Linked DNA regions of Caenorhabditis elegans. The protein of the gene in region 1 purifies or fractionates together with the protein of each later gene. This does not show direct contact. Each region holds a gene or a part of one and is shown on either strand. Other genes may lie near its edges.

Region 1 (7,268 bases):
CGGAAATGTTCAATTCCGACAATTTTCCGGTTTGCCGGAAATTTCAAATCCGGCAATTTACCGATTTGCCGGAAAAATCGTTTCCCGTCCACCTCTGCTACAAGTGATACAACATTCCCTTTCTCTCTCTCTGTACCATCAAGTGACAATATAATGAAAAAATACCAGCAGCTGTGTGTTCGGGACCACCGCGTACGCGCGCACTGTGACCCTAGACGATCGATAGAGTGGTCTCCAAATGGCAGATGTACTCATTGCAGCTGTGCAGTATTTCTCATCAGTCTTGCCCCACCCGTTGCGCGGTGTTGTCTCTCTAGAAATGGCCTCCCGCCTCGAATGCTCAATTTGCTTCTTCGATTTTGGTAAGTATTTTTTTCTCTACTAGTCTAGTCTTTCTGCCATAATTCGCAGTTTTTTTTTCAAATTTCCAATTTTTCAGATGACTTCCAGCACCTGCCAAAACTATTGGAGAACTGCGGTCACACATTCTGCTACTCTTGCCTTTTTGATTGGCTCAAAAGCCAGGACACGTGTCCGATGTGCCGAGAAGCGGTAAATATGACGCAGGAGATCCCGACAAATGTGGAAATTCTAGCCGTTTTCGAGAAAAAGAAGGCGAATCCAGAATGCAATTGTGATGATGAGTCAAGGTAAGCTCTTATAAGAATAATCGATAATTTGATTCGAAAATTGTGTTTTAAAAGTTATGAAAATGAAAAAAAAGAAGAAAAACTACTTACAAATCGAAAAAGAAAGAAGTATGCGAAAAAATCTAAAGAAAATTCAATAAAATCTACAGTAATCTTCAAGGTGCACATCGCAGTTGTTAATCTAAACAATTTCGCTGCGAGACCCTCGCTTGTAAATACGAGTGTGCGCCTTTAAAATCGTAGCTAGTAATAAAAATTAAAAGAATTAAAGATTTTTTCATGAAATCTCACAAAATTTTAAGAAAAAAAAAGGAACATCGCAGCTTAAAAAAAAACAAAAAATAATTTTTTCTCAAAATTTAATTCCAGCGTCTACTACTGCCCGACATGCATGCTCCAAAACTATGCAAATTGGGAAGATCGCCGAGAAAGCGGAGAGCACACGTTCTGCTTCGGCTGTGCGTGCAATCATATGGATGAGCACGAGCACAAAATCAAGCAGCTCGGCATGGGCTCCGAGATCAGCCTGGAAATTGATAAAGACGACGGGAAAACTTTGGATGACAAAAAATCGTGTATTTCGTCGAAAAAACGTGTTCTGTACTTCCTCTCGATCCTTGTAATTGCTGTGATTATTCTTTTTGTTCTGTGTATTTATTTCAAAATGATTTGATTTTGTGTTTCTAGACGATGAAATACGGGTCACAAAGATGTTCGGTGGAATGATTGTATGCTATTTTTCATGTACCTTTTCACGATTTTTCTCAAAAATAAATTTATTTTTATATAGTTGTTTAAGTTGGTAAATGTGTAGCTTCATAAGCACTCAAATTTGAGCTCAAGAAAAAAATTAGCATAGGATTAAAAAAAAAGAAAATAAAGAGAAATCAAATATTTAAAATATCGATTTTCGAACAAATAAGGTTAAACTGGAGACATTCGTGTTGGGCTATCGGGGACAATTCTCTTCTGGCTTATAAGCTGCTCTTGGCTCTTCTCCATCACATGGAGCACTTCAATAGCATTGTTCACTGCTTCTAGCTCGTCATGTCGTTTTGCCAGTTTGATGCGGAGCTGAACATTTGGAATTTGAAGCTTTTATGTGAAAATTGGAAAGGTTAGATGCAAAAACTGGCGATTTTAGCAGGTTTCTAAAATTAAGCAATTTTTCTTGAATTTTTTGACGATTTTCAGTCTAGTCGCGGTCATTTTTACTCAACTTGCAGCCTTTTTCAGTCATTGTAGTCTATTTTGGACAGTTTTAAGCTATTTTCAGTATATTTTCCGCATTTTTAAGTCCATTTAGTAGTGAAGAAAAAAAAAATTCTGATAGGTTCCTCATTTATTTTTATTTACCTGTCGAATTTTCTCCAATTTCTCGTCGAACTCCTTCTCGACCTGTTTCAGACTTTTGTGCTCCTTGGCCGACGCGATGAGCATTTTCTTCTGAAAAATGATTTTTTAAATAAATAATTTCCGAAAAAAGGCAATTCTTACGCATTCTGGAAGAGTCACAGAGGCGGGAATTCTGAAGATATTTGTGACGCAGAATCTCTGAAAAAAATTGGCATAAATTCAGATATTTAATCGAGAAATATGTCAAACCTTCATCATTTTGAATGCTTTCTCGTTAGTTTTGTCGCTGAATGGGAAGGATAGCAAGCAGAGACGGTCTTTGTCGGTGAGCTGAAAATTAAATTTTTTAAAATTAAATTTCTTTTTTGAAAAAAAAACCTTTTTCAATGAGTTCTTAAACTCATTGCTGCAAACTTCTTCCCATGCGTCGACGTAAATATTGAAAACTGAAAGATTTCTGATTTTTCCGCAAAAAAACGTTCGAAAATTCAATAAAACTCACTGGAATCGCTGAACGAACCGGCCGAAAATCCGAAAAACGAGATTTGATTTTCATTAGAGATTCCCGACAATTCGCTCTCCATTTTTAGTTTCTGAATTGAATTTTTAAAGAATAAATGTTCAGGATTAAATCAAGAAATGAGGGCGAAAAACTGTTTTTGAAGATTATTGGTTCGCGGGAGGTGAGGTGTGCATACACGCTCACGTCGCATTGCGGACATGGAACATGGATACATATTTATATTTATTATTAAACAGGCGTAAAAATTTTGCAATTTTCCTCCAAAAATACTGTTTCTGGTCTCGAAACGACAATTATTTGTTGAATGAAACGGGTGTGCGCTTTTAAGGATTACTGTAATTTCAAACTTTTGTCGCTGCGGATATTTTATCGATTTTTCATGGTTTTCTGTGTGACAATAGTTTTGTTAGTTAAAAACTGGATGAAAATTATGAAAAATAAATAAAGAAAGTCTTTAAAAAATAAAAAATGACGGAAAATTATCCAAAAATTGGAATTTTCTCAAAATCAAAAGTCGAAAATTGTCGCTTTTTCCTTTTTTTTTTTAACTCTAAAAATCGGAAAAAATTTATAAAATCAAAAAAGGCATATTTTTCGATTCTCTGGGAAATTCCTATCGCATTCAGCACAAAATTGTCGTGTCGAGACCTGGTACCGTATTTTCGGTGGAAAATCGCAGTTCCTGGGTAATCAATAGGAGGAATTAAAAAGTTAAAAAAAAAGTAATTTTGGCTGTAAACCAATAAATAAAACAACGAAACAAACCTAAATACCTATAAATTCCAAGTGCTTTATTCTAAAATTCGATCCTCTAAAAATCTCAAAAAATAAATCATTTATTATTATTATCATCTTCGAAGGGCGTGGGCGCTGTCAAAAGTCCCTGATCCGTTTGCCACGTGGAAGTGAACTTCATGAAGGCGTCTCGAGCATCCAAAGCGTCATATTCCCTGGCGAAAGCCTCAAATTGTGCTCTTTTTTCTTCAACTGAAGAAGCGATCCGTTCGATTCGAGACAATCTTCGTTTCAGCTGCTTCCGTTCTATCGGTGCAATTTGCTCGTATGAGTCGTCGGGAAGCGGTCTAGAATGTTCACCTGACTGAAAAATTTGATTTTATTCTCAAACAAAAACCAGAAAAAGCTGACCTGATTTACAAATTTCAGGGTTTTCCAGAGACATTTTCCCAGAGATGCTTTGAGTTGAATCAGGGTGATTGATGTTTCATCGTTTTCTGAAATTGGATTTTACAGTTGGATTTTACAAATTTGCCAAAAAAAAAACAAATTTTGTAATGAGATTGCCAAAGAAAATCTCAAAATTTTTTTTTGAGTGGTTAAAAATTTCGAAAAAGTGGCTAATTTCAGCTAAAACTCCTAGTTTTGGCTGATTCGAAAATTCAAAATCGAATATTTTACCAAAAATTGGAGAAATTGTCCAATTTTTTCGAAATTTTAATCCCAAAAATCTTTTAAAAAGAGATTTTTCAGAGGTTCCATTACGAAATCCGTACTCCCAGAACGGACCACTCTCATACGCCACCATGATACAGAATCCACGAAGTTTCGGTTTTGAAGAGAACGAGAAAAGAGCAGTTTGAGGACGTTTCGTTTCGTTTAACAAGTACTGTGATAAGGAAAAAAGAATCTTATTTCCAAGTTTAGAATCTGTTGTAATGTCCATTTTCAGCTTATTTGATCGTTTGCTTCCCAGGAATCCCTGACGGCAGAGCTCGATTTCAGGCAAAAATCCGAGAAATGAAATAGAGTCGATCAGTGTTACATGGCTTCCTATTTTTTGTTTCTTGAATAGCTGCAAATTTGAAATAAATACTTGAATTTCAAAATTTCACTAAAAACACCTTAATCTTGAATTTATCGCTTCCAAATCTACAAATAATTTCCTTTTCGCTCATTTTTTGCCGTTTCTCCGCAATAATTTCTCGGTTCAGTTCTTTCAAATCAGCGGGACACAATAAGAATCGTAGGTTTACACTAGATCGTTCAAAATTTGTAGCAACTTCCTTTGCAGCTTCATAATCGTCGTAAAGAGTTTTCAGTTCACCGATGACGTAAACAGTAAGATTTGGTGGAAATTCGCGGTCGAGCAATGCCAGTTTCTAAAAAAAAAGGACGATATTACATTAAAATTATATATTAAATAACAAACAATATTCAGGAACATCTCGACATCGATGAACCAGTGAAATTTCTTGATTTTATACTCTGTTTCGCAGCTTTTATTCATTTTTTCGATTTCCCGAATAGCAAATTCCGCATTCGCCTCGCCATTTGATTCAATTGTCTTTGAAATTGTTGAAAGTAGAGTTGAAATAGGCTCAAGCTTGCTATCAGAATTTCCACGCGTCATGCTGACTCCGAGATCGGTGCTTTTAGCCACCGCCACGTCAACCTCACAACCAATCATTTGTTCGATATGCAGACGGATTATATTGCAGCAGGTAGACCATCTGGATGCTGAAATTATTGAAATTTCCTGTGGGAATTTTAAATTTTAAATGATAGCTCACCAATATTTGCGACGTTTTCAGTTCCCTCGTCTATTGAATCCATTTCAATTGGAGCAGGCCATAGGCTGCTCATACTATTGCTCATGCTCATAATAAACATTGAAAATTCTTCTTCCATTTTTAATCGGAAATGGGTTGAAATTGAATCTAAAGATCTAAATTGAATAAAAACTTTGTTTAAAAAATGAAAATTTGAATTTCGTCGTATGGGTACGGTAGACAAACCTGCACATCAAACTGCGAGCGCGCGAAATTTTTATTTGGAATTTAAAATTAATTTCCTGCAAATATCGTAATTTTTTCCACTATTTTCCATGTTTTTCTTGGATTTCTGAAGATTAAAATAATTATTTCAGCTCAAAACAATCATCTAATCAAAAGGAGCGAAAATCTGAAAAAGCAGGAAAAGTAGGAAGCAATCCGGATTTTTACCAATTTAATTTCCATTTTTCAGATGGGCTTTTCGGCTATCGATAAGTTGATCCGGCCGTTTCTTCAACTTCACGAGTGGGATAACGGCGCCGAGCGGATTGTTCACACGACAACCATCCAAATTTTGATATGCTTTGGATTTTTGGTGTCTTCCAATATGATGTTCGGCCAGCCGATCACTTGTCTGATGCTTCCAGAAACTCCAGATTCATCTGCCAATTATTTTCACGATTTCTGCTTCTATCAGGACAAGCTGCGCATTCCTCCGCTTCACAAGTACAGTTTTTGGACAGTTTTTGGACATTAATTGTTTAAATGGTGATTTTCAGCGCTGTGAAAAGATCAACGAGGCAAGGAACAATGAATATCAATAACATCATGCCTCAGGAAGTTGCTGTGACCTATTATCAGTGGACCCCATTCATCATTTTTCTCCAAGTGGCCATGTGCCTCGTTCCGGCTTTAATGTGGAAATTTTTCGGGCTTCATTACTTTTACGGCCACGACTTTGCTGCAATCGTTCGTTCTCTTGCGTCGAAGAAGAAGGACGACAAGATGGATTCCAGCAATTCCAATTATGAAGTTGACGCACGAGAGACCCTCCGCTGGCTTGAGCACAAGAAGCGCGAACGTTTCGGTATGCATACCACTATGATGATCTACGTGGCGATGAAATGGATGACATTCGCATCGTTACTTTTCCAGTTCAACTTGATGGCAAAAATCTACGCCTCCGGAGAGCTTTTGTGGGGTGTTCATGTGAGAAATTGGATGTTGTAGGATTTTTTTTGAAAGAAATATTGTTCAGATTTCCTATGAGCTGTTGAATGGAGCATACAAGAACGTTTACACCGGAGTTTTCCCACAAATCGTGGGATGTAATCCTCATAGAGCGGTAAGTGCAGAATATCGCTCTTCTAAAACTATTAAAGGTGGTGTAGTCGAATTTTTTTATTGCCTTATTAGACTCAGAATTGTCTGAAAACACCGAATTTCATAATGAAACTTCTTGAAAACTTTTCAGGAAAAAGTTATGACGGCTCAAAAAATGGCCTAAAATTAGTTAAAATCGGAAATTTGCCTAACTTATCAATGTCGCAGCGGCTGGAAACAATTTTTTTTTGAAATCACCGTCAAATTTCGAGTACACAAGTTGATTACCTTGCGTTTTGAACTTGATTAAGATATTTAAAAATTGATGGACGGCGAGATTTTTAATTTTTTTGAATTAAAGCTCGCCGTCCATCGATTTTTAAATACCTTAAACAAGTTCAAGACGCAAGGTAATCAACTTTTATACCCGAAATTTGACGGTGATTTCAAAAAAATTGTTTCCAGCCGCTGCGACATTGATAAGTTGATCAAATTTCCGATTTTAACTAATTTTAGGCCATTTTTTGAGCCGTCATAACTTTTTTCTGAAAAGTTTTCAAGAAGTTTCATTATGAAATTCGGTGTTTTCAGACAATTCTGAGTCTAATGAGGCAATAAAAAAATTCGACCACAACACCTTTAAAATCAAAATTTTTCAGCAATTGGGTGGAGTTGTGAACGAGTTCATCATGCGCTGCATTCTCCCACAGAACTTTGTGAATTCAAAAGTGTTCCTGTTCCTCTACTGGTGGTATATTCTAGCAATGCTTGTCAGTATCTACTCGGCCGTTCAGTTCACCGCGATGTTGTTCCTTCCGAAATATCAACGATACGCTACAAAATCCCTTCTCCCAACGGAAGAATTCTTCAACGAACATGCCGAGAAACCGACGAAAGGTTCACTGG
Region 2 (8,574 bases), on another chromosome or scaffold:
GTTGAATAGTATTTACCTTTTGCGGAAAAATTAATTATTAAAGTTTCAATAAACTCAGTCTTCACAGAGTTTCTCAGAAGCTCCTTCAATTATTCGAGACAAAGACGTCGTTGTCCTTATTTTCAGTTGACCACTGAAGCCGTGGAAAGAAGTAGTTATGAATATTTGAATTCGCAACATTTTCTGTAGTGCGTTTTCTGCAAAAAAAAATTCGTGACGCTTCTTCCAGTCCGATCCTCTTGGAATCAATGCTCCACCAACACCAGATGAAGCAGGTCTTACTGAAAAAAGTGGAAAGAAGCATGGAAAGAAGTAAACTATGATTTTGAATAAAGAATTCGATTATGAATTTGTATTGCTGAAGTTAAAAGAAAAATTTATATCCTCAAGTACAGTTGGCTCCTCCGATTAGTCTATCATTTTAGACCTTATGAAGATTCAATATTTTTCAGGCAGATTTCTGATTGAACATTGATCTTTGGGATTCTAAGTTTAACTGGAGAAAATTAAAGCTTTTCTCACTTCAAGAAATTTTCTAATCTGGTTTTACTGTTGACAACATGAACCTTTGAATCTGTTAGTAAAAGTTATAATATTTTTCTCCCAGAGGGAGAAAAGAGACACACTTGGTTAACGTTTCGACTGGCACTGGCTTATTTAACAACTCGGTAAGAGCGTTTCAAAACGGAAGGAGACCAAAAAGATTATCTAACATGCATAAAATTTGGAAATGTAGTGAATTGCATTTTATTTCTGTGTATTTAAAACTATAAAAAAGAAATTTTATAAGCAACGACTTTATTTTTGCTCAAGTCTAATCAATTCTTCAAAAAGTTCCAAACAATCACGGGATATACGATGTTTTTTCGTCCGGATCATCTGGCTTTCTGAAAAACAAAAATGATTTCGCTACACTTTTTTAAACAATTTTCTTACGTGGCTCTTCGTTTAACTCTTTTCAAAGTATCAGCGAATTGTGCTTTTCTAGTTGGTGCAGTGTGCAAGTCTGTTTTTTGTTTGTTTGCTGGCGTGAGGATGTTGCTGGATGTTTCATCTCTGAATAAATACTTAGGGTATTTGGATTACTAATAATAAAGCCTACTCTACATTCTATAATTTAAAAATCTCATTTGATAGGCGATTTACTCACTTTGCTGCCTTTCCCAATGGTACATTGATAATTTCAGTTTTTGCAGATTCCGTTTCAGATTTCTGTGAATTTCTCAAAGAAACTTGATTGTTACTTGAGATCCTAGAATTGGTAAATCTCTGAGCTTGCGGTGCCCGGCGTGGTACTTTTAGAGAATCAATTCTGAACAGTTTCAAGATATAATTATATTGGATATTGAATCTTACACTGTGATTTTCTCCTTTTTCATACTTTTTTCACTCGATAATCTCCTCTCACTTTTCTCAGAAATCAATGAAGATTTTGACGTTGCCGCTGGTTTACATGCTCTTTCAGATGACGTCGTTTCTCGAGAACTCTTACTTAATTTTATTAACTCTTTGATGTTTTTTTTTTAAATATTGACCTACCTCTTCTGTGAATTTTTAGAGACACAAGTCGTTCCAATGATGAGTTGTAACATTAACGACCAGAATAAAAACAGAATAATTGATATTTGTGAATACAAGCACATTATTTTGCTTGAACACCCCTCAGATGTTATATTGAAATATTGAGAAATAAACGGAAATTTTGAAAATGGAAAATTATTGAACATATTTCGAGGATTACGTTTTTAAAAATATTTCTTCGTGTGGTATGTAGATGTTATAAACAAAGAAGTTGAATGAAAAATGCTTTATTTGGCACAAACGGCACGCTTCTAAATTTAGCGGCGTCGGGTTCCGTCCTCAAAGAAGACTCCTCCGTCGATAGCACAATACTTGGGGCAGATTCCCTTCTCTCCTTCTCCTCCTGGCTTTCCAGCGGTTCCTGGTCCTCCTGGGTTTCCGTCAGCTCCTGGTGCTCCAGCAGCTCCTGGTGGTCCCTTTGGTCCAGCTGGTCCTGGTCCTCCGGTTCCTGGGGCTCCGTCATTTCCGGCTGGTCCGGCTGGTCCTGGTGGTCCAGCTGGTCCTGGCTCTCCTGGTCCTCCTTGCTCGGATGCTCCTGGTTCTCCTGGTCCTCCTGGGGCTCCTGGGGCTCCGTCGTTTCCGGCTGGTCCTGCTGGTCCTGGTGGTCCGGCTGGTCCTGGGCCTGATGGTCCGGCTGGTGATCCTGGGTTTCCATCTGGTCCCGGTGGTCCTGGTGGTCCGGCTGGACCAGCTGGTCCTGGTGGTCCTCCTGGGCATGGTTGGCATGGTGGTTGAGTAACTGGCTCACATGGAGCTGATGCTCCTTTTCCTGGATTTCCTGGGGCTCCTGGAGCTCCTGGCTTTCCTGGCTTTCCTGGTTTTCCGGGAGATCCACCTGGTCCTGGTGGTCCAGGATTGCAGCATCCATCACATCCTCCGCCGCCTGAAAATGTATTCAAATACTTAAACTCTGTGAACCAAGATCCTTACCTCCGCCTCCGCCTCCTCCAGCTCCTCCAGTGGAATAAGCTTGACGAGCAACACGAGTATTGTTTCCTGGAGCATCCTTAATAAGATGCACCTCACTCCAGATATCACGAGCAGAAACCTTGCAGAAATTAACATCAGTGTGAATCTGTTTCTTCACATTATTAACATAGTTATAAACCATTGGCAATGTGATGAAAACAGAGACAACGGCGACAACCGAGAAGGTGACTGCCGAATAGGCAACAAATTTATAAGCTTTGATACGAGCGTCGATGTCCATGATTACTGTTGGAGGGTGAGTGATGGACTGAAGAATTCCAAAAGAACTGATGTTTTTATACTAGAGACGTCCATGGCTATTACTTGGAACTGGTATAATTGTTCTTGTTAAGGAGAAAGAAAAGAGAAAGAATAAGAGGATCCAGTTCTGTGTTATCACTCCATTGGTTAAAGATACTGGTTTATTATTGTAAACTATATCAGTTTCTCGAAGAAAAAAAATTTGACGTAATTATTGGCTGGAAACTTCAATTACAAAAATGCAAATATTAAGGGGCAACTTCTGTTTATCAATATACCGACTGGAAATGATCTAACCATTGTAGGAAAATTCAATTCTATTGTATATTAATCGTGTTTGAAATTATATCTCAAAAGTTCCAACAATTCCTTCATTCTGGAATCTCCGGAAATCAGTTTCCTCGCGAGTGCAGCGTCTCTGTAATGTAAGTGCGCTCCAATCACAATTGCTATAGCGGGAAAATTCAAATGTGACTTCTCTCTCTCTCTCTCGATATTGTTTTTACTCAAATTTCTATTTTCGTTTTTTTTTTCATAAATATTTCTGTAAAAATGTTTTTTCTTCTTTAAGTTGGAAAACAAAGTTCTCAATAGTTGCCAGAATTATTTTTTTAAATTTTATATGCGTCGCCTTCCGTTAGTATATTCAGTTCTGGTCAATTTTATTCGCTCATTACAGTTTCTTGACAATGTTTGGAGATCGAAGAAAAACGGGCGGCTTGAATCTCAACGGACGTGCCTCAATCGCTATCACTCCGACTAAAAGATTCACCGATTATACTGGATCAACATCAGTCAGAAAGTAAAAATATCCAATTTCGTGCGATGAAGAACTAATCTAATTTGCAGAACTGACGCTCGCCCCAGTCTGAGTCAACCTCGTGTGTCATTGTTTAATACTAAAAATTCATCAGTTGCTCCGCGAGATGTGAAATCATTGGTCAGCTTAAATGGAAGCAAAATTTACAACTTTCTTGTGGAATATGAAAGCTCGGATGCACCATCAGAACAGCTCATTATGAAACCTCGTGGAAAGAATGATTTCATTGCTTGTTTCGAATTAATTTACCAACATCTCAGTAAAGACTACGAATTTCCACGGCATGAGCGGATTGAAGAGGAGGTGTCCCAGATATTCAAAGGTCTTGGATACCCGTATCCACTCAAAAACAGCTACTACCAACCAATGGGATCTTCTCATGGATATCCACATCTTCTTGACGCACTTTCTTGGCTTATTGATATCATTAGAGTTAGTAACTGATTTTTTTATTATTTTCATCCCTATTTATTTAACCATTTAGATCAATTCTGCTGTCAGTGAGGACACACAAAATATCCTGTTCGGTGATTTCATGGAACAGGGAAAAGCTCAAGAAAAAACGCTCAATTATGCATGGATGACAAGTACATTCAGAGATTATACAAATGATCGAAAAGCAGCAGAAAATCCCAGTTCTTCATACTGGGACGACACGAAGCATCGTCTACGGAAGTATTTCGAGCAATCCAATGAATTCGAGGATATGACTAAAACAGCTGCATCAGCTCTGGAGATGCTCAATTACGAATGTGATGAGATAGAGGCTGATGTAAGTAGAATTTCGATACTTTTGTTTTAAAGAAGTTTTATTTTCAGAAAGGAAACGAAGCAAGCTTAAAAGAAGAGATATCAAGAATCAGAGACGACATCCGAAAAGCTAAAGATTATCTCGAGCAAAATCTTCATGTTAAGCAGCATATGGAGAAAGAACTGGCTATGGTGAAGTCGGAGCAAGAGGAGAAAATTTCAGAAAATGAAAAAGTGCAAAAGATGGTGGACGATCTGAAGAACAAAATTGAGTTGCAAAAACAAATTCACGGATTGACAGGAAAAGAAGTGCGTCAAATGAATCTTGACAATAATAAAGACAAGGAGGTGGTACTGGAAATTCAAAGCGAGTTGGATCGTCTATCAAAAGAAACATGGAAACTCAAAGATGAAGACTTCTTCAAAGAGGTATTCTAGGTTTTTGGAAAGTTGAATGCCTATCATTCACGGAAATACTTGTATGACAATCAAATTTGTATGTTTCAGCAAAAGTCCAAATTCATTCATCTCGCAGAACAAATCATGAAAATTCTCAGTGGACTTAATATTCAAATGAATCTTGAACCACTAAGAGCTCCAACGAATGAAAGGTAAATTTCTAACAATTTATTAAAAATTCACAAATCTACATTTTCAGAGATCTTAAGGATTACTGGGAGACGTTGAACAAGATATGGGTTCCAGAGATCAGCCGACAGTTGCATCAGAGAAAGCTTGAGCTTGAGACTGAACAGTCAAGATTTTCAAATAAAGCAGTTACCGCAGAGTAAGTTGTACTCGAATTAAGCGCCGTTCCATTGAATGTTAATAATATACACATTTATAAACAATAATTCAGAGAAAGAATCCAAATTCAAAGCGAAACACTCTGTGAAGCGAAGAAGAATGAGGCTCGCGAAGAACGAATTCGTCGAAACGAACGTGATAGCTGGAAAGATGCTCGCAAACATATTGAACAACGATATGAACAACTATTGAATGAAAAAGAAGTACTTCTAAAGCAAATGAAACTTGATGGAAGCCTCGAGAAAGAAATCGAAGATGAGACCGCCAGAATGTCTGCAACTGGAGAAGAACACATACAAAAGAGATCTCAATTGGAAGCTGGAATCCGGCAAATATTGGATCTGATGGTAGTGGAAATCGCCGAGATTGAGGTAGGTCCTGTCAATTTTACTGAGCTATTCTATTTTTCATTTTTTCAGAACAAAAAGATAGGATTCCACGTGCAATGTGCTGGCATTGAAAAGGCGGTTCTTTAGTCTCCTTTGGCATAATCATTCTGTGAATAATACTAGCTTTCATTAAAAGAAAAAAAAAATGACTCTAACATTTATTTCTGTGGTTTAGACTTATTTTATAAAAAGCCAATGAACAATGATTTCCAGCAAAGCGAACTTTAATATATTACACAAAAAATGGTTTCAAGCAAGTTTAATAACAATGTGGTTCCTCTTTGTGCTTCACACCGATTTCCATGTTAGGAACTCCTAAGTCAAACCACTTATTCACCTGAAAAATTATTTTGATGGAGTATGAAGTATCATCAATTACCTGCATCCCCTTGTTCACATAATTGTCTGGGACAGTGAAAGTAATCTTGCGTCGACAAACTTTGGAAGATGAACGACAATTGTGATATATACGTAGTTGGGGATCAATTGCAGTTATTGAAATTGCAAATCCAGATACTTCGAAAGTTCCGTCTTCGTTTACATGGGTTTCAGCAATAAGATCGTCTGGATCGACTGAAAATTGAATTTTTTGTAGTTTTTTGAAGCAATGTTTTATAACGGTTTTGTGGGGATCGTCCCCACAAAAATAGACGAGAGATCCTGTTTTTTAAGTGAACAATGTTTTATCATAATTTGTTCTTGTTTTGGTATTCACTTGAATTTAAATATTTCTAGGTGTATCGTGGCCCTTTACCGTCCAGTGAGTACATTTAGTTTTTGGTAGGAGTGCACAATTTCAGACGTACGCTCCTGCATGCCTACGCGATTTCCTGATTATCTGCATGTAGTCACGCCTACGTGCCTACCAACATATGTGCCTGTATGACGCCCTTCTACCTATGTGTATACAACCATTCTGCATGTTTGTTCTATCTAAATTTTTTTTTCAAATTCGCGTTCCTACTCATGCCTACAAATATAAGTCCCTGCCTGCCTATGTGCCTACCTGTCGACGTGCCTGTCTTACTAAATAGTCGATTTGAAAGCTTGATATGTGAAAGATCGGACTCTCTATTCCTAAATAGCCCCATAACCAGGTTGTTTCAAAATTTTCCAAACACACCGGCTTTAGGAAATTTTTTGATCCTTGGAAATAACATTACCAAATTATCTTTCGAAATTATTGTACTCTATCTTTTCAAAATTCACTTAGTTTTGAGACATGTAGTGAAGTGTCTGAATCTCTGATTTTGTTATAAGACCACGTGATAAAATTTATCAATCTGAATGTCAACATATTCCATACAACTACTAAAGCTACCAAATAACATGATTCAGAATGTTAAACTGATTATCACTTACACATATCATTATCCCACAATTTGACAGTGGCATTCCTAACTGGGCGTCCTCCACACATTAATTTCCCTTTTACGCCGACTGCCTGTTTTCTTCCAATTGCACGAACTTTGTCAATAAAACGAACTGGCGGCTTCTGAGTTGCAATTAATTCAATTACTTCATCTGTTTCAGATGCATTTGCATTGATTTCATCGAGATTTGAAGCATTGGAGAATGTCAAAAGGATTGTGGCGAATAGTAGAACAATCAAAACTTTCATGATTTTTTGTTTTAACAAAATTGTGAATGCGCAAACAAAAAAAGTGAAATAACAGAAACAACTTCTTGTCTTAAATGTCTTTGTAATCCTAACATAATCCCGAGAAAACAAAAAAGATTTATTAATAGGTTCAAAAGATTAAAATAACAACGCAACTCTTTGCTTATGTACTTCAAAGTTTCGGTTTTCTCATGAAAATAAGAAAAAGAGTTTGAGAATTTTCTAGAATTTGCAGGACTTTTACAAACATCAACAACCAGTAAACATTTATCGATCAGAAACCAAAAACATTCTGGAGAAATTCAAAGTTCAGAGAGTTTTTCAGAGAGATCATAAGCCTATATGGGCACAACAGGACCTTCCCGCCTACCTAAATTTTACGGTGAAAATGTTTTAGAACATTTTCATGTTACATCCATTTCACCTATTAGGCTTCACCTATGCAGGAAATTTCCTTTTTCCAAATTCAGTAACGCTTGGCTCTGCTTTCAAACTTTAGGAACTTCTATATACTAATTTCAGCATTTTGTATCTTTCTCGAAGCGAACACCCTTTTAATCCACTTTTTCATACAAAAATACAAATTCGATATTTGTATTTTAGAGATCTTTTGAAGTGTTCCAGAATAGTTTGCTTTTCTCTACACAAACGTCAAAGGTTTCCTTCGTCACGATTGCCTAGATATACTTCGTGCCAACGAGAATAGATAAAACTATTTAAATTTAAGTCGTGTAACCTTTGAAATACCCCGTAATCCGACCCTTCGAACTTTCCACGTCTTTATCAGAAATACAATCAGAATCGATATTCAAAATCAGTTTCGAAAATTTCCAATTCTCCGCGTAGCAGAAGGCAGCTAAAAAGAAAAAAGTAGCCGATAGAAATAATAATGGCTGTCGATAAGAAAGAAGAGGAAAAGGATCCAATGGACAATGTTCGTTTTAAAATTGGCAAACGGTTAGTTTTTTATCGGAAAATCACACATTTTCCTACGAGGGTTTTGCTCACTGCATCATTTGGAAACTTGCCCAAAGTGGAGTTTTAGAGACAGTCCAGTGAAAATGCTCTTACCTATTTAATGAGCGCGGCTGAGTTTTTCCTTTTGGCGAACACGTAGCAAAATCCAAAATCTTGTTGCTCTGCCCATCTACATTCAAACAAATTGGTTTATACTTGAGCAGTATGCCAATTTGATTTATAGTGGCCTGATTCCTACGTGTCTCCTACAATCTCTAATTTACAGTTTCGGTTCGTATACAATAGAAAAATCTTTGGACGAAGGAGGATTTGGTCAAGTTTACCTCGTGAGAGATAATAGTGGCAAGCGATTCGCATTGAAAGCAGAATCGAACGATATGGAAGGAGGATCTGCAATC
Region 3 (6,647 bases), on another chromosome or scaffold:
ATGCCCAAACAATGGAAATCCGAAAATCGTACGAGGACACAATTTCCCATCCATGATTCGAACATTGAAAGATGAAGCAGGAGTAACTTATTTCGAATGGCTCATGAAGACTGATCTCAAAGGTATGAAAACTAAAACTTTATCAATTTTTCTATTCATTATATTTTTCAGGTGGCCTTCCACGCCGTCTTGTTCACTCGGGAATGGTCAATTACTTCAGTGAGCACGTGAAACGGATGAATGAGTTCGCAGAAACCCATTATCATTGTCCTCCTTGAGATTCAACACAAAATTATATTTTATACCTTGAATGTGATTTACTTTTTTTTTTCTGTAAGTATCTGTCCCCTATTTCCCATCGCTAGATATTCCTGCTAACCTTTATCATGACTAATCACTTTTTAAAGTTTCATACCTCCTTGCCCTTTCTGAATTTTCCCCTCACAATTCCAAACCAATATGAATATTAATTATTCCGAAAGATGTTTTTTTTGAAGAGAAAGTTTTATTTTAGAGACAAACAAAAGTTCAGAAAAATTTGGTAAATAGGAAAAGAAAGATTCAGTTAAATTAAGTGAAGGTTATATTAATATCAAAATTCTACAGCTTTTGCTGTTGTGACTCGACAATTGTTGCAAGCTCCTTGAGCACCTGCTTACGACGAGCTATTTCATCTTCTTCAGCTTTCAGTTCTTTTTCAATCTTTTCGATTTCAGCATCTGCTTCAGTGAGCATTTTCTCGGCAGTTTCGGAGAGGTGCAATGCGACATCTCGTTTTGCCTAAAACGATGAAAATGTGTATATTAATATTAAAATCAATATACAAACATTGACTGGATTATATCCCATTTCTCTTCCGAGTTGCTTATTTAATTCTTCAGATTCTCTCGTCAATTGTTCCATATCATCGAAAAGTTCGTAAACACTATTTTCTTTAATCATTTGATCAGTCTTCTCCAAAACTTTTTGTTGTGTTGATTTCGCCATTCGAGCCATCACAGCATCCACTGCAGCTTTATCCATGTTGAGTTTTCTATGAGAACTCTGAAAATTTTAGTTCTGGATAAAACGTGCAAAAATATCAAGCTTACCATTTTCCACAAATCCTGGGACTCTAACAATGATTTTGTGAATATTTCCAGAGTTGTGTCCAGCATTTGATTCAAGACTTCTTTTCTTTGCGACATGATATTGATTTTATCTAAAACGCGGAAAACTTACAAATACACTTAACAAGAAACTATGAAACGAAATTAAACAAGAAGTATTTTAAAAGTTATGGAACTTCACGCAGGAATAAATTTGAGCAGAAATACAAGTATTATGCATATTTATTTGTTAAATAAAATAAAGGAACATGAAATAGAACTATTCATCGCTTTCGTTTTCTCCTCCAAAACCAATTGTATGTGCGAAGTAGTTTAGATGAAGAGCGAACGCTTGTCTGTAATTATTACTGATCTTCAGAGCAAAATCTTCGAAATAGCCTACCGATTCTCAAACTTTCGGCCGCATCCAGAACATTTGAACGGATCGTCAATTTCGTGATATCCAATGTGCGTCATCCAGAGGATTGCGTCGGTGAAACTCTGTGAAAAATTACGTTTTTAAGATTTTCCAGAGCAAAAACCATACCATCAAGCAATGAGTGCATTGGTATTTCTCGTTATCATTCAATGGGAATAATTCTGCAATCACATCCGATAGTTTCGCGATCATCTCCGAATTGGAAGCTGATGATACAGACATAGCCATCTGAAAATTCAAGTTTCAACCTCTATCATGCTATAAATCCAACCTGCAATTGCTTTAAAATCCCATCATCTTCGTCTGCTTCATAGATTTCTTCCTTGACTTCGATTTCTAAAGCATCTTGAACATCGAATTGCTTTGATTCTTCCTTTGCTCCAACTGAAGTTTTTCTTTCCTTCCGGCTTTGATTCTTTTTCATTCGAAGGAAATCTTTCTGCTTGATAATCATTTCCTCCGCATATTCTTTAAGTTCTCCATGCTTGAATGTGTGATGGAATAGCATTTTACGGAAGGATACTGAAACTTCGGAGCAATCCTGAAATGTTTTGATTAGTTCTGTTTCAATCTATCGATATTTTACTTACCTTGCACTTTATCGATACTGTACCATTCACATGATGAGCTGTATTCGCATGATTCTCGCCCTCTAACATGGTCTCAACGAGTTGATCACATCCTTCGGCACGACAAGGTAGAGTTCTGAACGAAACAGTTTTTCAAAAATTTCAAAATATTTCTTGCAATTACCCTTTGCTGATGTGGTCGAGTGCGTGGAAAAACAGAGTATCCGTTCGATTGAACATTTTGTCGCAGAAATAGCACTCCAACAATTTGTCATCTAAAAATAAATATTGGTTTCATAAATCTAATCGCCTGAAACTAACTGTGCACTTTGATATGACAACGAAGGGATCTTTCAGACGTGAAAAATCGATCACATTGTTTACATTTAACTTTTACATCGGGGGAAGTTGTATTGGCATTCACCTGAAACGTTTTGATTATGATACTTAAAAGTAAAAATATAAAAGCTTTGAATAAATATTAATAATTACCTCGAGAATCGCGGATTCTTCCGGAAGGCCTTCCATTTAACACTGAATAATGATTCACCGTCACCGTCCATATCATCAATCTTACACGTCTCCATGATTATGAGTTGTCAAAAGGTCACGGGAATATTTGACAAGAAAAACGTTTGCGTGTCCTCATTCTTTCTTTTTCAAAACGCGTCGACTGCCGCCAAAAACGGCATTTGGCCTAGCTTTCCGAGAGACTCGGCCACGAATTGGGTACCTATCAAAAACTGATCGATTTGCATAATATTGGATCATAAATTGTAATTAGTTTCAATAAATACAATGCACAATGATATGTTTATTTGTTTTAATACAATTTCTTTTTGAAAATTGGTTTGTTATTCCGTTCAGAATCGAGTAAAGTGCGTGGCCTAGAAATTCCCGTTTTCTTTTGCCAAAATAATTGGCAGAGGTCTGCAGAGGTGCACTCAAAACCTGAACAAAGAGCAAGGAAAAGAGCAGCTGTCATTGACATACACCCGTTCATTCACAATATTTCATAACACAATATACACTCATATATATTTTATACACCTTTAATGCACATAGAATTACAAAGTTAGATATGAATCTCTAATCTATCCAATAAGTAGGTCGATTTACGCGCATCATTCATTACTCAATATCTCCTTTGACATTTGCAACAAACTTTAACTACTATTTCCCAAGAATGTCAAACAAAAACAGAAGACACCCAAGGGAAGCTGTTCATTTGTTTGTTGCGATTTTGTAGTATTTAATAAGACCGCATATAAATGTTTGCAATTTATGATTACGGTTCCCGATCTCGGCACACCTAAAACAGTTTTTAAAAAATGTCGCACATAAAAATGTGTGCCTTTGAGGAGTACTGTAGTTTCCACTTTATCTCGTTTCCTTGCACATTTTGCTGTTTATTAAATAATCTTTTTTCACAAGTATTAATAAGAATGCCAGAAAAAGGAAAAATTGAGACCGGGGACCGTATTCTGGCACGTTGCAACACTTGTTTGATGTTGATTGTCTTCTTGTAATCCTATATAAACCAATAGAGGGTTCAAAAATAAACTAGAGAAAGTTTCCGTGCGAGTTTGCTCATTCCAATAATATTTCTGGTATGCTCATGTTTCATCATTCTTGTAAAAACTATTAGCACTGCCTAACCCCCTTATGCAAATACATATGCAATAGATCTATATTTCCTCAGTTCTTCCCGTTTTTATCTCTATATCTCTTTCTCTTCCACATTATTTCCCCACACACAGTTTTCTTATCAGTTTGTATCACCTTTCCTCTCTTTTCTTTCCGTATACCGCCAGTGAGTCATCTACACACTTCATTCACTTCTCACTTTTTGATTCGAAACGACATTTCCATTTTTTTCATGGAGAGAAAAGGAAGAGTAGTAGAGTCAATAAATGGTCTTGAAGTGACATCTACTTCTTTTTTTTTGTTTTTATTTTCAAATCGGTCTTTACATTTTCAGCATATATTTTTTTATGTTTAGGATCTTGCGATAACCCCCTTATTCTTCTCACTACACATTTCACCAGATTCAGGCATAACATGGTTTTCATTGATGTTTTATAGGTCTTCGATTGAAATATATATTTTTACACACGAGAACAATCACATAACATTTTTTAAAAATGAGAAAAATTAAACTCGATCTGAAAAATCGATGGTAACTTCCCAAAAACAAAATTTTGAAACTACAGTACTATTTGAAGGTGCACATCGTTTAACGAAAAATTTTCGTGTCGAGACCGGGTACCATATTTTCGGGGCAATAATCGAAATTTCGCCTTTTTTGTTGCCAACTGATAATACAGCTCAAAATTTCCAACTTTTCCTCAACTTATCCTCTTAGTCTCTTCTCTTATCGTTTCTACTAATCTTTGCACTCGTTTCGACCGCACAATTCCAATTTTCAGTTCTCCTTCTCCACAACATGTTTAGTAGCGAAGGAAAATTCCGAAAAACCTACCGTCATCAGTTTAATCAACTACGGACAGGAGATGAGACAGAGATTCCAATGTCAACACTTGCGTCTCGAATTGAAACACGAAAAATTCCATTGACAAACGGGCAGATTCATGCAATTAAGGAAGCTCCAGATGAGTTGGTCGATATTGATGGATTTCAGAAAATCGTAGGTTTCCAGCTATTTTTAAACTTTTTTGTTGCAAAGTCTGTGATGACTAGATTATTTTGTAAAAAAATGAGGGCGACTGGTTAAGTACCAATGACTCAATTGGTAGGTAGTAATTTCTGAGGAAACATTTCAAAATTATTTCGTAATCCGAAAAATCTACAATTCCGTAATGTAGATCGTGCCAGACCCATAAGCAAAATTACTATGAGCCTTTAAAAACTCGCGGTTTCGCTGAAAAACTATACAGTATCATACATTTTTTTGAATAAACATAGCAAAAGTAATTGTATGAAGTTTGCCCACAGTTATGGGCAGAACTATTTTGAACTGAGTGAATTTAATAAAGTATTCCAAATACACATGTAATTTCAGGTGACTTCAAAAGCTGCACAACGATCAACAATCAAGCGTATCATGTATGACATGGCAGATCCTATAATGAGCGACAGTCAGAAGATCGAAGTTCACTCCTATATTGACTCATATTCATGGTGCCCACCGCCGATTTTTATGCTTTTGATCACCATCATCCAGGTAAACCAAATACTTTTTGATTCAAATTAAACTTCTACAATTGCAGGTTGGAATTTTCTTTTTCTACTGGGAATCCGACGGTGGTAGAAGCATCTGGACAGATTGTGCTGGTTGTTTCGTGCACCATAATCATACAGCTCCGGGAATCTTCATTTTTGCGCCAAAATTGAGAGGCGAAGCGTGGAGATTCACATCCTATATGTTCTTGCATGCTGGGTTAGTCGGATTATTTAATTTTCGAAAATTTGAAACAAGCTTTGGTTTTTTACAGACTGAACCATCTTCTCGGAAACGTCATCATCCAACTATTAGTCGGGATTCCATTGGAAGTTGCTCATAAAATCTGGAGGATCGGTCCAATTTATCTGTTGGCAGTGACTTCTGGTTCTCTTCTACAGTATGCTATTGACCCGAATTCGCTTCTAGTTGGTGCTTCCGCAGGAGTTTATGCTCTCATTTTCGCACATGTAGCAAATGTTATTCTGGTGAGTCCAATTTTTAAAGAAATTATAAAATTAAACCTCTATATCTATAGAATTGGCATGAAATGCCACTACGATGGATCCGAGTCCTGGTGCTCTTCGTGTTCATCTTTCTGGATTTCGGTGGAGCCATTCATCGTCGATTCTATACAAATGACTGTGATTCTGTGTCACATCTTGCCCATATTGCTGGAGCAGTCACTGGATTATTCTTTGGATATGTAGTACTTTATAATGTAGTAGAACATCGAATTGAGAAAATAATTCGATATGTTTGCCTATTTCTATACTCTGCATTTTTTGCAACCACTATTATTTTTGTGATTGTTCGTCAGCCATATTCCAAAAATTTGTGGAACAACGAAAATTGCTCATAGAACTTAATAATTTTATAATTTTATATAGACATTTTCCTCGGGTTCTAGCTTTATTTGTATTTGTTTTGAACTACCGCCATACATTCCTTGATGGCTTTTCTGTGCTTACTTTGTGATAATGATGAAGATTCTCGTTTCAGATCATGTTTTAATTAAATAAATTGGAAAATATAAACAACCGCCTCCATAAACCCAAAAATTGAGATTCGTTCACAGTAAGGTTAGAGCTTTAAGGTCGTTCCATAAAATCGCGAATTGCATTGTAGAGTTGTTCAGAAGTTCGCCGAGCCATCATCAAGGGGGTATCTCCGTTACCAGCTATGACTCCAGCGTCGATTCCTGTAGAAATAATATTTATTTTTGAGTATTCCATAATTTATTAACTATCTTGAATAAATTTATTTGGTTCTCTAATTAGTATGAATTTTATCATAAGTTCCCCGGTATTTTTTTGTGATCTTTAAAACGTTTTCGTTGATAAATTTTAATTTTTTTTGGTAAAAAAATA
Region 4 (9,458 bases), on another chromosome or scaffold:
ATTTAAAATTCACATTAGGGTTAATCAATTTTCTCTCAATTCAAAAATGAAAATTTCAGGACCCGAAGACGGTATCATTCTCCGTGGTGGAGCCACTATCGAACATTGTTGCCACGCCCTTCATCGTTCAATTGCTGCTCAACTCCGGTATGCCATCGTCTGGGGAACATCGACGAAATTCTCTCCGCAACGTGTCGGTCTTCATCATAAACTCGACCATGAAGATGTGATTCAGATTGTGAAGAAATAATTTTGTTACTACTGTTTAGTTTTTTAATTATTGTCTTCATAATTATTGCAAATTTCCGTTCTTTTTTTCTTGTTGATTTTTCCCAGCTGGCACCATGCGGTGATAAATTTTTATGTGTTTCATTCAACAGTTCATTCGTAATTTTCGGTTTTTTCCTTAAAAAATATTTGTTTTAAAGATATTATCCGAATTAAACTTTACAAAAATATCCAGATGAGAAGATTACCCTGGCTGATCCCATTCTTTCTCGTAAATATTTCAAACGGAAACAACGAATTTCGAATAGAATTTGAAGTAAGCTGAGCAGTTTAATTTTGATTGTGATTTCCCAATTGCAGTATCCAAATAATGAAAAGTCGGAAAAATGCTTTGATTCATCAAAGGAAAATGACTTATTAGATCTTTTCTATGTATCAACAAATCCACTTGGACCTGTCGTCGAATGTCGTTTTCTTGAGAATTCCTTCATTTTATGTGAGGATCCAGTTCCACTCTACGGCCCTGGACAAACGGGACAGCAACCAGCAAATGAGAGTTTTCGAAATGAAGGAAAATGTCTGAAAATGGGTGGATACAGAGCAGAGGACGTTGAGTTCACGAATGTCAAGTGCCGAGTTCTTCCGTGTATTGAATGTCATGGACCAAGAACGTTTACAAAGTCAACACCTTGTATAATGTAAGCTTTTTTTGAAGCGAAACTCAACATTTTATTTTGATTGAAATATAAATAGCTATTAAAACCTGAGTTTCAAAAAAATTCTGGTCACACTGGTCTCGGCACGACAATTTTAGTTAAATGCAAAACGGCGTGCGCCTTTAAAAAGTACTGTAATTTCAAACTATATTTACTGCCGCAAATTTCGCTGCGGAATGTTCACAGTTTTTACGGAGTTTTACTATAAAATTTATGTGAAAGACTAATTATTTATTTTTGAAAACACTTAAATTTTCACAAATCGAAAGAAAATTTTTTTGTTAAAATTAAAGTGTTTTCATGTTATACATGCAAATAAATAAATAAATAAATTTTATTAAATCAGTTTTCACCAAAAATATTTAAAAAATCGATGAAAGTTCCACATCGACGAAATTTTGAAATTACAGTACTCTTTAAATTCGCATTTAACAAAAAAGGCGTGTCGAGACGTGGTACAGTACTCTTGCCGCAAAAGTCGCAAAATTTCGCGTCCGGGGTTTATTTTAAAAAAATTATTTAAAACTGACACAATAAAGATGCTCCTACGAAGAGATTATATGATTTTTGAAGTATATTCAGAAAAAATATAAATTTCATATTTTCAGATACAATGGTCACTACTTTCTCACAACTCTTCTGTATTCCATTTTTCTCGGTGTGGTTGCTGTCGACCGTTTTTGCCTGGGATATTCTGCAATGGCTGTCGGAAAACTAATGACTTTGGGTGGATTTGGAATCTGGTGGATTGTCGATATATTCTTACTGGTACTTGGAGTACTCGGACCCGCGGATGACTCGAGTTGGGAGCCGTACTATTAAAAGAAATTAACTAATACGAGTGGAAAATTAATTGTTTATTGGTCAATATTTACAACCGATCTCATATTGTCAAATCCAATCATTGCGGCAATTGTGTGCTAACTGTCACCTGTAAAATTTGTAATTTCCTTTGTCATTTACTTTATAAAGAAAAATACCTTAATCTTCGAAAGATCACGTCCGTCAATTATCTCACTGAAAATACGACTCATCATTTGAGCCAGCTTATCTGGCCGTTCGTCAATGATTGGAATGACAGGAGGCATTGCTGCTCTGAACTTTTTGATTTTTTCAATGGTTTCTTTGGAACGATAAGGACCACTGAACACGGATACCTTGTTCTGAAATTGGATGATTAGAAGGATTTACTACAAATTTGAATATTTACTGGAGCATTTTTGACGTTCAGAAGTTCAGCTGAGAACGGTTCATCACTGGCATCCCACTCTCCTTCAGTGCATTCTGGCAGCTGTTCGCCCTTATCTGGAAATTAAACTTTGTATTGTCCAGATGCGAAAACTGTAAAATAGCTTGGAGTTGGGTTACTGTAGTCCTTAAAGCCATACGCCTGTTTTCTAACTAAAAACGCTGCCTAAAAATATTTCGGTCGTGTCGAGACCGGGCACCGTACTTCTCAGCGTAAACTAACAAAATTTCGCATCTGTGTAATATTGAAATTTCATCCTTACCATCATCAGTAATTTGAATCTTCGGCAACTGTCGAATAGATTGCTGAACACTTGGTGCTGGTAGTTCCTCTTCTTTTTCGTCTTTTTTATCTTCTTTCTTTTCTTCTTTGCTTGGTTGCTGCTCTGCCATTTTTTGCCTCTTGATTTTGATTTTATCGTTTTGAAGAATAAAATTATTTCCTTTTCAAAAGATGTTTTTTCTTAATTAAAAGATTTCGAAAAAAAAATGCAATACACGTAATTTTGAGTTTTCACTTATGGAAATGTATTTTACAAATCATTTTCAAATACAAGATGGACAACAAAAAGAAGGAAGAAAATCCTAGTAAATCTGATACTTCTATAAGCCGTGAGTAATATATATAACTTTTCGGTTTTTTTTTTAATAAAAAGTTTTAGTTCCACCAAGCTCAACTGGAGAAGCGCTTCAAAATTATACAGAATCGGAATGGAACGCATCAGATGATCCGTATTCTGCAGAACTTCTCAATGTGAAAAAGAAGCCGGTAATTTTTATTTTTACGTAGATTTTCATTAAAACTTTTCCAGAATCGAGTTAATGTGTTCTCAGCAACTGAGAAGAACATGGAAACTATAATTGTCACTGAAGAATCTCCACCACAAACTCCATTGCCTTTAAGTTGAGAAATCACAAAATTCTGGGAACTTAATTTGTATTGGTTTAGAGCCTGTCGTAGAACACCACAATTTGGCTCGATTGATTCAGAAATCATGTCAATTGCTCTTGGATAAAACTACACCAGATGGAACAGAAGTGCAAATAAAATTAGAATTCCCTGACTGGAGAGATACCGCCTGATTCTCTATGTGTTGAATAAAGCTTAACGGTTAAAAAAAAATTAATTGAAATCTGCCTGAAAAAATATCTAAATACAGTACTCACAAGAGAAACTACGGATTTTGAGAATTCGAATTTCGTAGAAAATATTTTTGCAATGTGTATCAGCTGTAATGGTACATATATTTATTTATTAATATTGAATTTTATCTAATTTTTGAAACAATTGGTTTTTTAAACTATTAAAATTGTATTATACTGCCCCAAGTTAAGGAATTACTCGTAGTGTGCGTTCTACGGAACCGGTGGTGTGTCGAGTGCAGCTTCGCTCCATTGTACAAGTTCAATTTCAAACAGAGATTTGCCGCCAAGCAAAACTGCCTTCGTTTACTTTTCACTTTTTTACTTTTCCCATTTAACGAAGTTTATGCTGCCGTTGTTTTGTTATTTTTTTAATCATAATTTATTACCATTTTTAAAACATATTTACAGCCATGTCGATGGAGCCTCGTAAGAAGCGGAACTCGATTCTCAAGGTGCGGCAAGCCGTCGAAACCATCGAGGAAACCGTCATGAACAGTGGGCCTAGTTCCACAACAACTAATCGACGAGTCAGCTTTCATAACGTGAAGCATGTCAAGTCAGTTAGAGTCAGTGAATAATTTATCAATAAAATAATTATTTCAGGCAGTATGACAGGGACCATGGTAAAATTCTTGACGCCACACCAGTTAAGGAGAAGATTACTGACACTATTGGATCAGATGGTATTTTGACGTGAGTTCCATCCTTTAACGTGAAATAATGAATACGTAAAAATCTTTTTAAGACCACGTGGCGGAAACATGGATATTTCCGAATCTCCGGCCTGCACGTCCTCATTTCAAGTGTTCGGCGGTGGTAATCTCGATAAAACTATGGATATGTCTCTCGAAACAACTATCAACGAGAACAACGAAACGGCGAGATTGTTTGAAACCACAAGAGATCCAACACTATTATACGAAAAGATCGTCGAAACCACAACAAAAGTTACCGAGCGAATTGTTAGTATGCCACTGGATGATACCTTAGCAATGTTCAATACAACGAATCAAGAAGATAAGGATATGTCAGTTGATCGTTCAGTTCTTTTCACGATTCCCAAAGTTCCGAAGCATAACGCTACAATGAATAGAACTATACCGATGGACCTCGATGAATCAAAAGCAGCGGGCGGCCAGTGCGATGAAACGGTATGTTGAATTAATAGAAGGAACCAAATTATCTTAATTTTACAGATGAATGTGTTCAATTTCACAAACTTGGAAGCCGCTGAAATGGATACGAGTAAATTAGATGAAAATAATACCATGAATGCTATCCGGATTCCGATTAATTCAAACGTCATGCCTGTAGACATGGACATCACTGAACATCACACTTTAATTGAAGAAAAGAAAAATGATACATTCGGGCCAAGTCAACTGATGGACATTTCGGCGCCACAAGTTCAAGTTAATGATACTTTGGCCATTTTCAACAGTCCGAGAGACATCTGTAATAAGGGTTTGGGTGTTCCTCAGAATCTAATAAATATCGCCTCGAACGTCGTACCTGTGGACATGGACATCACTGATCAGGCCGTATTAAACGCGGAGAAGAAAAATGATCAATTCGAGACAAGTCAGCTTATGGACATTTCTATTCCGAAAGTTCTAGTAAATGACACTATGGCGATGTTCAACAGCCCGAAACACGTCAGTAAGAGCAGCATGGATCTCGAGAAAACGATTGAAGCCGCTGACAAATCAACGAAATACCCGAGTATCGCAGATGAGGTGGAAGATTTAGACATGGATATGGATATCACTGAACAACAACCATGTGAGGCTGGTAATCAGCAGAACGACGGCTTGCAACTTCAAAAGGAGGATTTAATGGACATTTCGGTGATTCGAGATTCACCTGCAGTAAACGACACCATGGCTGTGTTCCAGAGTCCTGCCAGAGTAAAGATCGGAGCGGTAAGTTTTAAGCACACTTTCCAATAAAAATGTATTTCTTTCAGAACAACTCGATCATTGATTCGCAGAAATCTATCGTGTTCGGTGACGAAATGAGCATTGACGAGACACAAAATGATGGAACCTTGACGTTGCCAAAGTCGAATGTAGAAGTGACTACAACTAATGATGTCTACACGTCTCTCGAGCGGCAAGAGGAAAATGCTTCAGAAAACGTATCCATGATAAACGAATCTTCTGTTCATTCGGAAATCGACAAAAAGTCGTTTATGCTCATCGAAGAAGAAAGGGCTTTTATGCACTCCTCCATGATTGATGTAGCACAAAAGTTGGAAGACGATGGTTCGTCGAAGACGCCAGTCATCCTTGCTTCACAGTCAGCTTCTCTTGCCACTAAAGAACCATCAGCCCTTCACAACTCGAGTGCAACTCTCAACAATTCGATGGAATTGGACAACAATACTCTTCTTAAAACTATGCAAATTACAACGTGTGAAGACATTAGCATGGTCCATGAGTCTATTGCTGTTGAACTGAACAGTAACAAAGAGCAGGAGCAATTCGGAGATGAGACTTTGCAGAAAAATGGTAAATTTCGTTTATTCAATAACTCTATTAAAAGTATGTTTTAGATACCTCGAATACTGGCGCGAATTTCACATTCCAAGGCCATAATGAAACATCGCAAATCATGAACAATGTCGACTCGGAAGCAGTGAACACGTCCAAGATTTCAACATATTCGGCTTTCAATTTGAGCATCAACCAGTCTATCTCTAAACGACGTCGATCTCTTCTGAATTCTGCTCGTGAATCTCCTCGTCGTGTTGCGTTGGAGAATTCTATAATGTCGATGAATGGGCAAACAATGGAAGCTCTGACAGAATATCGACAGAATAAAACTATGCAGACGAGTCAAGATTCGATGCCGAGTATGAGTTTGAACGATTCGGGAAGAGATATTCTCGCGATGGTAAGAATATCTCTTTGAGTATTGAATCGAAAATGTCTTTCAGAATACATCAGTCCGCTCTCCTCATCTGAATTCTTCAAAAACTGCTGCCCCAGGAACACCATCATTGATGTCACAAAATGTACAACTTCCACCTCCATCTCCTCAATTCGAAATGCCAGACTTCGATCCAGCTGTGGTCAACGTTGTATATTTAACATCTGAAGATCCGTCCACTGAACAACATCCAGAAGCTCTCAAATTTCAGCGTATTGTTGAAAACGAGAAAATGAAAGTACAACACGAGATTGATTCTCTGAATTCAACCAATCAACTTTCTGCTGAGAAAATTGATATGTTGAAGACTAAGGAGCTCTTGAAGTTTAGTCATGATGAGCGAGAAGCGATTATGATTGCAAGAAAAGACGCGGAAATCAAGTTTTTGGAGCTTCGTCTGAAATTTGCACTCGAGAAAAAAATTGAAAGTGACCAGGAAATTGCTGAACTAGAACAAGGAAATTCGAAAATGGCTGAGCAGCTAAGAGGTCTCGATAAGATGGCTGTCGTTCAAAAAGAACTAGAAAAGCTGAGAAGTCTTCCTCCATCACGCGAAGAGAGCGGGAAAATCCGAAAGGAGTGGATGGAGATGAAGCAATGGGAATTCGACCAGAAAATGAAAGCACTCCGAAATGTACGCTCAAACATGATTGCACTTCGTTCAGAGAAAAATGCTCTCGAAATGAAAGTCGCGGAAGAACACGAGAAGTTTGCCCAGAGGAACGATTTGAAGAAAAGTCGAATGCTGGTGTTCTCTAAGGCTGTTAAGAAAATTGTGAACTTCTAGTGAGTTTAATATCGAAAAATTAACAGTCAAAAATTATAATTTTAGATGCCGCCTTCACCCTTCCCTTGCATCAGGCCTACAATACTTCTGATGCTCATATAATTCTTTACCTAATGTGCCATATATTTTAGTTTTTTTTTCATCTAAAAATACCCATTGTGCATCAACCGCACTTGCTGTATTTCCTTCAAGATGTTTACCTTTTCCCCTATACATTTATGCCTCAGAGCAATCACAAAGTTATGTTTTTATTCCTAGTTCATTCTCAATCAATCTAAAGGAGACTTATGGTTTGAATAGTCAAATGAATAAATATTCCTTGTAACCAAATTTTTTTGTAGCCGTGTTTTTTTTTGTAAAATGAAGTTATTGTGCGTTTAAAAATCGGAGTTTAAAAAATCGGAGCTTCAGTCTCCTCTCTTAAAAATAATTTTAGCTTACTATTTACTACTGTAGTTCCAAATAGAATATACATAATAAGGCGGGTAGGCAAGAGTTTGACACCTCGGGAGGTACATAGGTACGTAGGTGAGCAGTAAGTATACAAATTTTTTAAAGTTTTACTTTGATTTTTTTAAGTTTTACTTTGATTTTTTTAAGTTTTACTTTGATTTTTTTAAGTTTTACTTTGATTTTTTTAAGTTTTACTTTGATTTTTTAAAGTTTTACTTCTTCTCAGTTTTTAATTTTTATGTGGAGGCTTTGAAAAACAAAAATAAAAATTTGCAAGGGCTATTGAATTTGCCAGAAAAAAATGAAAACTCCAAAAAGTGGGCGTGGCCTGATCAGCCATTTGAATTGTCTTGTTGTAAAATTGAGAAAAAATAATATTTTTATAACATTTTGTACAGTTATATTTGGTCATTACGACCTAGTTGTTCCACTGTTAAGAAGAATCTAACATATAGCGCGAGCTTTCTAAATCAACCTAATAATGAAAATCAGAAAATAATTTTTTATGCACTTGAAAACTTCACAAAAAGCTAAAATTCTTAGAGAAGTTCTGAATATGATCATTTATCATGTTTGAAATGGAGCACTTGTTGCTCTTTTTGTCATGCTTGTCCATGTTGGTTTCTATTGCATTCCAAAGTGTGCTTCTTCCTCTTATTCTACATCTCTTCTCTTTTTTTCTTCTTTCTTTTCTTTCTTTCCTCCACTTTCGTTCTTTCTCTGCCAACAATTTCAAACACCACTCCCTTTTTCTCGTTCCCAAAAGAAGGTCCTTCTCCATTTCAGTTTTACCAGCAGCTGCTCCGTCGAGTCCCTCATCTAACTCGTTTCTTTTTCCCTCTTTGTCCCATTACTTTTACTCATTACGGGACACGACTATGGTGAAATTAACTGAATCGGCTGTATATATTCGTACAAAATGTTCACTAGAGAATGTGAAAAAGCTAAATTTATGGTAGGTTGAAAATTTGAATTTTTAACTCAAAGCAATAATTCCAAAAAAAAAAAAGAAAATTAGTATTCTGTTTCAGGGGGTGCGGAATCGATGACATTCAAGTATGTGAGAAAATGAGCCTTCTGGAAGTTTTATCATTGAGGTAGGTTGTGTCTCATATTATGATTTTCAAAAGCTTTTTGAAAATCTAGATTATTAGTTAGATGTTCCTTTTATAGATGGGGAACAGTAAGTGAGGATTTAGTTTAAAAGCACTTATGAAGGCAAACATGGCTGAATATCACAACAAATTTTTTGAATTAAAAAAAATCAGTCATAGTTTTGGTGAATTGCAAAATGTATCTAAAACCAGGAAAACTTTCTGGAATCTTTTTGTTATGCTTTGAAAAATCTGAAAATCATTTCACCAATATACTCCTTTCTGGAGGATTTCTTTGTGGGAATCTTTTTAAAGTTCCTATGATCATTTTAATAAAATAGTCTTCATTTAAAAGTTCCAAAAATTACCTCATAATAGAATTTAAATATAACATTTTCAGTGTTAATGAAGTGAAATCCCTTGCCCCTCTTCAACACTGTAAAAATCTGAAAGAAGTGTACTTACGGAAGAATTGTTTGGAATCGTTAGATGAATTGGAATATCTGAAAGAATTACCGAATCTAAGAACCCTATGGATTGACGAGAATCCTTGTGTTGGAGAAGGTGGTCAAGAGTATCGGAGAAAAGTTATTCGAGTTTTACCAAACCTGACAAAACTTGATGATAAGCGTAAGATTTTAGAATTTGCTTAGTTACACTAATGACCATCGAAAATTATCAAATATCACAATTATACACTCCTAGGAGTTTTCAAATTTAAAAATGTCCAGCTTTGGCGAAGTTCCGAATTTAGGAAATGTTTGGTTTTTTTAAAAAGAATTTTAGATCAGTTTCGCATATTTCAACCTTTTCAATGTATCCAAATATTAAAACCGAAAATGACCTCGAAAGCTG

What was found.
Region 2: the proteins of mis-12 (region 1) and ndc-80 purify together in Caenorhabditis elegans (affinity purification with mass spectrometry, with the first as the bait; one study listed by BioGRID). This does not show direct contact.
Region 3: the proteins of mis-12 (region 1) and kbp-2 purify together in Caenorhabditis elegans (affinity purification with mass spectrometry, with the first as the bait; 2 studies listed by BioGRID). This does not show direct contact.
Region 4: the proteins of mis-12 (region 1) and knl-1 purify together in Caenorhabditis elegans (affinity purification with mass spectrometry; 2 studies listed by BioGRID). This does not show direct contact.

Annotation. Positions count from the first base shown.
Region 1 is NC_003279.8:3,603,105-3,610,372, forward strand, and holds mis-12 (uncharacterized protein), read right to left. Parts: upstream 2,600-7,268; 5' UTR 2,591-2,599; coding exon 2,509-2,590; intron 2,453-2,508; coding exon 2,385-2,452; intron 2,337-2,384; coding exon 2,256-2,336; intron 2,205-2,255; coding exon 2,148-2,204; intron 2,097-2,147; coding exon 2,007-2,096; intron 1,802-2,006; coding exon of another isoform or gene 1,769-1,801; exon of another isoform or gene 1,725-1,768; coding exon 1,575-1,724; 3' UTR 1,411-1,574; downstream 1-1,410. Other genes in the region: Y47G6A.31 (RING-type domain-containing protein), read left to right, coding at 320-362, 440-650, 1,020-1,323; Y47G6A.25 (uncharacterized protein), read right to left, coding at 3,362-3,628, 3,676-3,761, 4,054-4,339, 4,389-4,646, 4,697-5,004, 5,058-5,175; inx-22 (Innexin), read left to right, coding at 5,512-5,765, 5,819-6,248, 6,298-6,384, 7,022-7,268.
Region 2 is NC_003282.8:10,082,647-10,091,220, forward strand, and holds ndc-80 (Kinetochore protein ndc-80), read left to right. Parts: upstream 1-3,490; 5' UTR 3,491-3,500; coding exon 3,501-3,613; intron 3,614-3,660; coding exon 3,661-4,063; intron 4,064-4,115; coding exon 4,116-4,403; intron 4,404-4,450; coding exon 4,451-4,810; intron 4,811-4,888; coding exon 4,889-4,992; intron 4,993-5,039; coding exon 5,040-5,168; intron 5,169-5,240; coding exon 5,241-5,559; intron 5,560-5,607; coding exon 5,608-5,664; 3' UTR 5,665-5,791; downstream 5,792-8,574. Other genes in the region: W01B6.8 (uncharacterized protein), read right to left, coding at 845-887, 937-1,056, 1,151-1,312, 1,357-1,491, 1,540-1,727; col-2 (Cuticle collagen 2), read right to left, coding at 1,839-2,464, 2,512-2,791; ttr-39 (Transthyretin-like family protein), read right to left, coding at 5,837-5,914, 5,957-6,150, 6,940-7,198; ttbk-5 (non-specific serine/threonine protein kinase), read left to right, coding at 8,088-8,155, 8,442-8,574. UniProt on the Caenorhabditis elegans protein: Acts as a component of the essential kinetochore-associated ndc-80 complex, which is required for chromosome segregation in mitosis and meiosis and spindle checkpoint activity.
Region 3 is NC_003281.10:4,902,684-4,909,330, forward strand, and holds kbp-2 (Mediator of RNA polymerase II transcription subunit 21), read right to left. Parts: upstream 1,202-6,647; 5' UTR 1,188-1,201; coding exon 1,092-1,187; intron 1,045-1,091; coding exon 829-1,044; intron 781-828; coding exon 601-780; 3' UTR 501-600; downstream 1-500. Other genes in the region: tag-340 (START domain-containing protein), read left to right, coding at 1-122, 172-278; F26F4.8 (C2H2-type domain-containing protein), read right to left, coding at 1,369-1,444, 1,492-1,589, 1,636-1,755, 1,799-2,068, 2,118-2,232, 2,281-2,371, 2,418-2,520, 2,589-2,624; rom-1 (Rhomboid-related protein 1), read left to right, coding at 4,543-4,743, 5,119-5,280, 5,327-5,496, 5,552-5,765, 5,816-6,139; F26F4.12 (ANK_REP_REGION domain-containing protein), read right to left, coding at 6,369-6,478.
Region 4 is NC_003281.10:8,246,888-8,256,345, forward strand, and holds knl-1 (Outer kinetochore KNL1 complex subunit knl-1), read left to right. Parts: upstream 1-3,744; 5' UTR 3,745-3,748; coding exon 3,749-3,894; intron 3,895-3,941; coding exon 3,942-4,031; intron 4,032-4,083; coding exon 4,084-4,489; intron 4,490-4,534; coding exon 4,535-5,260; intron 5,261-5,304; coding exon 5,305-5,848; intron 5,849-5,892; coding exon 5,893-6,233; intron 6,234-6,276; coding exon 6,277-7,056; downstream 7,057-9,458. Other genes in the region: putative GTP-binding protein C02F5.3, read left to right, coding at 60-250; TM2 domain-containing protein C02F5.13, read left to right, coding at 464-544, 589-926, 1,553-1,766; C02F5.10 (uncharacterized protein), read right to left, coding at 1,846-1,875, 1,925-2,107, 2,155-2,249, 2,456-2,585; C02F5.2 (DUF5356 domain-containing protein), read left to right, coding at 2,750-2,804, 2,855-2,961, 3,005-3,095, 3,142-3,275; F09G8.5 (leucine-rich repeat domain-containing protein), read left to right, coding at 8,088-8,464, 8,541-8,606, 9,004-9,233. UniProt on the Caenorhabditis elegans protein: Acts as a component of the outer kinetochore KNL1 complex that serves as a docking point for spindle assembly checkpoint components and mediates microtubule-kinetochore interactions.